2 linked regions of the Cricetulus griseus genome follow. The protein of the gene in region 1 interacts with the protein of each later gene in a biochemical or structural test. Links are inferred from orthologs where the notes say so. Each region holds a gene or a part of one and is shown in the gene's direction. Other genes may lie near its edges. The genes, in order: Mcm4 and Mcmbp.

Evidence for each region.
Region 2: the proteins of Mcm4 (region 1) and Mcmbp form a complex in vitro, tested with the Homo sapiens proteins (2 studies listed by BioGRID). The link is inferred for Cricetulus griseus from reciprocal best matches to the Homo sapiens genes MCM4 and MCMBP.

The regions. Positions count from the first base shown.
Region 1 is NC_048597.1:73,866,180-73,870,001, forward strand, and holds part of Mcm4 (DNA replication licensing factor MCM4), read left to right. Parts: intron 1-1,625; coding exon 1,626-1,885; intron 1,886-2,273; coding exon 2,274-2,639; intron 2,640-3,133; coding exon 3,134-3,261; intron 3,262-3,796; coding exon 3,797-3,822. UniProt on the Homo sapiens protein: Acts as a component of the MCM2-7 complex (MCM complex) which is the replicative helicase essential for 'once per cell cycle' DNA replication initiation and elongation in eukaryotic cells.
Region 2 is NC_048596.1:72,026,571-72,030,392, forward strand, and holds part of Mcmbp (mini-chromosome maintenance complex-binding protein), read left to right. Parts: intron 1-147; coding exon 148-233; intron 234-989; coding exon 990-1,130; intron 1,131-1,214; coding exon 1,215-1,256; intron 1,257-3,822. UniProt on the Homo sapiens protein: Associated component of the MCM complex that acts as a regulator of DNA replication.

The DNA.
Region 1 (3,822 bases):
TACTATTGTTTGGACGTTAAGTTCTCAGGTGCAGATTTCAGAACTCTCAGAACTTTGCATGTGTCTCAGATAGATAATGTTGATGCCTTGAGAGCAGCCTCAGGGTGTGGTGTTGATTGGATTCAGTTTGCCAGTAGCTTGGGGACAGACAAACATGGGATTCACAAATGCTTTTCTACTTATTTCCTACATGGACAGCTAACATTACTCATGGAGTAGAGCAGGGCAGTCCATATGGGAAAGCTATTGCTGACTTGTTAGTTGTTGCAGTTCATTGCTGCATTGATTCAGGTTTGTAGATTCTGAATGCTGCTTCTTGCAAAAGGTGCCTTATCTTCAATGTCATGTGGGGGTGGCAGACTTTCTACAGTTTGGAGGAATGTGAGCACTTTGTCAAGAACAGCACTGTTCTTCATTGGGAATTGAAACCAAGTCTCCCTAGCTCTGAGTCTGGGGCTCACTGTCCCAGCTATTCAGTGAGTCAGGATTTCAGGATTTCTTTCCCAGCATACAAGAGACATGCAGTTTTCACACACACACACACACACACACACACACACACACACACACACACACACACACACACACACACACACACGCTCACTTGCCTTAATAGGTTTGCATTTTTTTTTTTTTAATGTTATTGTAAATGCTGGTTTTGTTGTCTTGTTTTTTAATCTTGTATCAGAGGACAGCTTGTGGGAACCAGTTCTCTTTTCTTTCACATGTGACCTGAAGATTGAACTCAGGTCATCAGGCTTGTGGCAAGTGCCTTTACCTGCTGAGTACCTCACTAGCTCTGTAAGCTGGTTTTCTTTTATGTTTTAAATGAGAATTGCATTGTCCTGTTAAAGGACCATGGTCTGTACTGTGAGGATGAGAGGGAGATCAGATTTAGTCTTCAGAGATAGAGGCCTGGATTAGTGGTGCTTGCCAGCAACTCTGATGGCCTGAGTTCCTTCCCTGGGTGTCACAGGATGGAAGAGGAAAGAACCAACTCCCAAAAGCCAACCTCCACATGCTGTCCTGACACTCAAGCACATGCAGACAGGCATCTCACATACCAATAATGAATTAAAACTTTTTATTTATTTTTTTAAGCAGACAGAAACAAAATTAGTGTGAAGTTCACACTAGTTTGAACAATAAAGGATTTCCCTAGCTTTGTAGACCAGGCTGGCCTCTAACTCAGAGATCCACCTGCCTCTGCCTCCTGAGTGCTGGGATTAAAAGTATGTGCCACCACTATCCAGAGTTTCTTGACTTTCCTTTTGTTTTTGTTTTGGTTTGTTTGTTTTGTTGTTGTTGTTTTGTTTTTTTGAGACATGGATGGGGTTTCTCTGTGTAGCTTTGGAGCCTATCCTGGCACTCACTCTGTAGACCAGGCTGGCCTCAAACTCAAAGAGATCCTCCTGCCTCTGCCTCCCTAGTGCTGGGATTAAAGGCGTGAGCCACCACTGCCCGGCTCTTGACTTCCTTAATGTAGTCCTTAGCTGGGAGACTAACAGGTAATGATGCTTAGGTGAGATGGGGCCCCTAGGTGCTATACATTGCCTGTGCTGACCACTGAGTCTGCGGAGGGAGAAATAGAAAGGTAAAGTTATGTCGCCTGTATATGTTCTTAGGCATATATCGAGCAGTACCTATTCGAGTCAATCCAAGAGTGAGCAATGTGAAGTCTGTCTATAAAACCCACATTGATGTCATCCATTATCGGAAAACCGATGCAAAACGCCTACATGGCCTTGATGAAGAAGCAGAACAGAAACTTTTTTCAGAGAACCGTGTAAAATTGCTTAAGGAACTTTCCAGGAAACCAGACATTTATGAGCGACTTGCTTCAGCCTTGGCTCCCAGCATTTACGAACATGAAGATATAAAGAAGGTAACAATGGTGTTTTTAATCTGGTGTTAAACAATTCTAAAAGTCCATTTGCTCAAAATAAGAACTGTTTGCTCTATAACAGAGCAAGTACTGACCCCTGCCTCAGTTGTTAGTTGAGTGTTATTGTTTTGTTGTGGTGACTCATCTCTTCACATTCATGTCCCTAAACCTAAGAGATTGTGTGGGTTCAGAACAGAGGAATGCTGGTCAACTCCTAGAGTGATGTCTACTTAGGTTTAAATCGGTTAGGAATAATTTAGAGTGACCAAAGCACTCTCCAATGATTTTGATCATGCCTTCAGCTTACAAAATAGAAAAGTACCTCTAAAACATAAGCTAAATCTATTCTACAAAATGACTGTTTGGATGTGTTTATACATTTTTTTAGGGAATCTTGCTTCAGCTCTTTGGTGGAACAAGGAAGGATTTCAGTCACACAGGAAGGGGCAAATTCCGTGCTGAGATCAACATCCTTCTGTGTGGTGACCCTGGTACCAGCAAGTCCCAGCTGCTTCAGTATGTATACAACCTGGTCCCCAGGGGCCAATACACATCTGGAAAAGGCTCCAGTGCAGTTGGCCTCACAGCCTACGTGATGAAAGACCCTGAGACCAGGCAGCTAGTCCTACAGACAGGTGCCCTTGTCTTGAGCGACAATGGCATATGTTGCATTGATGAGTTTGACAAAATGAATGAAAGTACAAGATCTGTACTGCATGAAGTCATGGAACAACAGACTCTGTCCATTGCAAAGGTGAGTGGTGATTGTGTACTGTGACTAGACTCTGAGATGATATCTGCTCTTGAGAATGTGATCAGTATTTCTCAACACTTCTAGATGGAAACCTCTTAATAAGCTTTTATTCACTCATATGTAGTGCTTATAAGCTCAAGTTTGTGTTAAAGTTACTACCAGTGTTAAACCGTTTGCTTTCTGATATGAAAGATGTGTGGCTACAGGGTTTTGGAGAGATGGCCCAGGGTTAAGAGCAGTGGCTGCCTGACCAGAAAACCTGGATTTGGTTCCTCCCAGCACCCACATGTAGCTCACAACAGTAAAGTTTCAAGGGATCTAGTGCCCTTTTCCGGCCTCCAAGGTTACCAAGCATCTGTGTGCACTAAAATCAGAGGTTCTTGGAAATCAGAAACAGCAGAGCAAATGAGGATTAGCCAGAGGCCAGATGAAGATGGTTTTCTTCCTTGTGGGAGTCTTGAAAAGGCTTCTAACTTCACTGCTTCCTCTGATAGGCTGGAATCATCTGTCAGCTTAATGCCCGCACATCTGTCCTGGCAGCAGCAAATCCTATTGAGTCTCAGTGGAATCCTAAGAAAACAACCATTGAAAATATCCAACTACCACATACATTGTTGTCAAGGTACTAAAACATTTCTGTATGATGACTACTGCTCTTGGCTTACTCATAATTGTCAGCGGGACATTGCAAAGAAAATAGGGTCAGTAACTGCTAACACTCTCTCCATTGACATTAAACAATGATTCAGACTTGGTTGGTCAGGGCTCTTGGCAAAGATTATGTGTTTAATTATTTTACTAAATTTGTTTTGTTTCTGGTAGTGCTAGGGATTTAATGAAAGGCCTCTCATGTGTTAGGGACGTGCTCTATCACTGAAGTACACTCCTTGTGAAACAGTTATTCTCAGAACAGTTGAATGTACTGGTACCCAAATATAGTTAGTCTTCTGAATTATAGTAACATTTCTCAGAAAATTCTTAACTTCTTTGACTTTCTCTTACCAGGCAGGACTGAGGATTGGTCAGTTGGTGACGAGGCAGCCCTCTGTGGGCATGTATACAGTATAGTTGATTAGTGGTTTAAACACATTTAAATCCTATATATAGGTATGTTGGTGTCTCAACTAGAAAGACAGTATTTTTCTCTGTCTTGTCAGGTTTGATCTTATTTTCCTCATGCTGG
Region 2 (3,822 bases), on another chromosome or scaffold:
TGGTGCCCAGCACCCAGCAGGGAAGCTCCTGGAATGCCTGTGAAATGTCGCAGTTGCTCTTGTATTAACTATTATGCTTACATGTTACTGACTTAAACATAATCTGTTGGTCCATGTTATGCTTCAATGACCATATTTCTCTTTCAGCCCAAAATGGAGTTAATCCTGACTGGGAGAAAAAAGTTATTGAATACTTCAAGGAAAAGCTGAAGGAAAACAATGCTCCTAAATGGGTAAGCTTACTGCTGTTTGCAGGGAGAGAGGGAGAGTTACTGGCTATAGTTTGTCAGTGGAATAGAAACCCCATAGGATTAGAAGTAGAGAATGAGTACAAACTACTACTGTACATATGCATTAAAAGGCTTTGGTCTGATGCTTCAGAGTTGTACCTCTAGGTGGCAGTAAATGACTTTTCCTGCCTGGTAAACTGGTTTCTAAGAGTAGTTATCACCTATGTTTTGTTCCCTCCTAAAAGAATTGGCATGTGGGGATGGGGTGGGGGTTTGGGGTTGGTGGGGTGGAGGGGTGAGGGGAGGGAGAGGGAGCTGGGATTGACATGTGAAGCAAGCTTATTACTAATTTAAATAAAAAATAAATTAAAAAAAAAGAATTGGCATGGGTTAATGTTCAGAGGACTCATCAAAGTGCATGCCTTTCTGTTTATTGAAAGGGTTCAGGAATCCTTTGTAGGAGGTGATACCTACAGTCTGGGGCCTTAGGAGGCTGACCCAGGAGGATCGTGTTGGGGCCAGCCTTGACTATTAGTGAATTCCAGACCATTCTGAGCTACAAAGTGAGACTGTGTCTTAAAAAGAGAGAAAACAAACAGAACATAGAGAAAACAGGCGGGCTGGAATAAAAGCTGTGTGTGCTTTAGAAGGCACAGGAACTTGGAAGAAGTCGGCTTCCAGATAGGACTAGATTTTGAATGTGTTTGCACTTAACATTTACAGACAACAACTTTGCTGACTTGCTTGTTTTCTTTGAAGGTACCATCATTGAATGAAGTTCCCCTTCATTATTTGAAACCTAACAGCTTTGTCAAGTTTCGTTGCATGATTCAGGATATGTTTGACCCTGAGTTTTACATGGGAGTTTATGAAACAGTTAACCAGACCACAAAAGCACGAGTATGTATTGCTTTCTTTTTGAGCTGTTATAACCTATAATATTAATTATACTTATATAATCCTTGTCTCTTGTTTTGGTAATAGGTTCTTCATTTTGGAAAATACAGAGATGTAGCAGAATGTGGGGTATGTACATTTTATGGTATTTTTTTGTTGTTTTGGTTTTTCGTGTGTTTTTCGAGACAGGGTTTCTCTGTGGCTTTGGAGGCTGTCCTGGAACTAGCTCTTGTAGACCAGGCTGGCCTCAAACTCACAGAGATCTGCCTGCTTCTGCCACCTGAGTGCTGGGATTAAAGGCCTTCAAACACCTACGCCCGGCTGTTCAAAAACATTTTTACATGATTTATTTCCATCTAAAAAGAGAATTCATTTTTCTTTGGTTGGTCCTCAACATACTTGTCTTGTGTGAATGAGTTCTTAAAAATCAGGCAGAATATTTTTTATTTGTCTTTAAAAGGGTTTTTCTGACATTATTTTCTTATTTGTCTTTTAAAGATTTCTAGCAATATTGTAAATACCAAGATTCTTCCTCAGTATTTGTGACTAAAAGCACAGTGTATGATTGTTTCTTTAGACAAAAGTGAAAGATTAACTTAGACTTAATACTTCTCAATTAGATGTAATTAAATATTTGTGGGTTTTTTGTTGTTTTGTGGGGCAGAGGGCACAGACCATGAAGATCAAAGGACATTCACGTATGGGTCTGAGGGCTCAAACTCAGGTAATTAGGCTAGACAGAAAGTGCCTTTGCCCACTAAACTAGCTTGTCACTGCCTCAATTAAATACGATTAAATCTCACCCTGATTTTTTAGGGGAAGGTTGTTTTTTTTTGGGGGGGGGTGTTGTCAGAGATTAAAGAAGCATAGACCTTATGAAAGTGAAGCATGACCTTTACTAAGTTGAGCAATACCCCCAACTTAAAAACATACCATTTTGTGTGTAGCCTGACTGGCCTGGCCTGCAGCTCATATCCCTCTGCTTCCACTAGCCAGGTGATGGGTCTGCAGGTGTGTTACTACCACGCTTTACTCTACATGTAGGTTTTACAACAAACTTTGCATTGCTAGAAAGACGTAATGAAAGTACTCTTCCACATTAGTAACAGGGAATGCACAGAGTATTGGGTGTCATGTAGTTACAAAAAGTCAATTGAAGTTCATTTTGACACCTGTTCAGCATGTGGTGTCTTGGCTGGGGCTGTGAAAGTTTATTTTTATTTTAACAGTGAAAGAGACTGTTAGCATAGCTAAAGAAACCAGATAGCTTATAGTGTCTCCTGTGTTTTTCATGTGTTTTCTGTTGAAACACAGAGCTTAATTGTCAGTTGTTGGGAAGAAAATAAGAATTCAAGGTGGGATTAAAGCAGGCAGGTCAGTAGGAAGGTGAGGCCTCTGTGTTTACCTTTTCTGGGTCTAGCTCTCTGCTTTATGGACCCAGAACCTTCACTCAACATGGACAGAAGTTTCTGCCCACCCGACCCCACAGCAGTTTTAGTCCCAAATAAACACACAGAATCTTACATTAATTATAAACTGTTTGGCAAATGGCTCAGGCTTCTTACTGGGCAGTATTCTCTTAATTATTAATCCATTTCTTTTAATCTATGTATCTCCACATAGTCTTGGCTTGCCGACCTGGGTCTTTTGCTTCCTAGGTGGCTACATAGTATCTCCCTGACTCCACCTCCTACCTTTCTCTATCTCTGTTTGGATTTCCTGACTAGCTAAATCCTGCCTGTCCATTGGCTGAAACAGCTTTATTCGTCAACCAATAAGAGAAACATATTCACAGCATACAGAAGGACATCCCCTATGAGCTCCATCATGAGGAGCTTTTTACTTTTTATTTACTCAGATCTCCCAGGAGTTGATGGCTAGCTCTAATTAATACAGCTGTCTTACAAGTATTAGTACAATTCTGAAGAGTTGTCCTAGTTGAATGAGTGCTCCAGTTTAGTGAGCTGATGGGATAGAAACCCAGCTCTAGCTAGGAGCTGCAGGGGCTTCTGACAGTGACTCAGTCGTGGGGACTCACTTAGAGACAGATTCCCTTGATCTTACAAGGGCTTCAGGCTTTGCTGTGTCTTCTAGAATGAGACAATGTGATGGCATGTTAGTAGAGTGACTTTATCAATGCTTCCTTAAGAAGTCCAAACATTACTTTGTAAGGTTCCATCCTCAGGGTATAGTAGCATAAATTGACAAGTCAGTAATCTTGGCATGACACTGCCACAAACTCAGAGTTTGTGTGCCAGACAAACAACAAGAAAGGCAGAAAACTTAATTTGAGGGTAGAAAATATAGCTGAGATAATAGAATGTTTTCCTATCACACATGAAGCACCGGGTTCAATCCCCAACACCCAGGAAATGGATCAGAAATTCAAGGTCATCCTCAGCACATAGTGAGTTTGAGGCCAGCCTGGGACACATAAGATATTGTTTCAAAAACAAAAACTGAAAAACAATTTCTTGCTTAAATGAGTAAAATGTGTGATACATGTGTGAAAATGATGTAATGAAACTGGTGACTTTATGTGCTTTAAGGTGGGGAGATGTTTTCGAGACTGGGTTTCTCTATGTAATAGCCCTGGCTGTCCTGTAACTCTCTGTAGACCAGGCTGGCCTCGAACTCGAAGAGATCCACCGCCTCAGCCTCCCAAGTGCTGGGATTAAAGGCGTGTGCCACCACT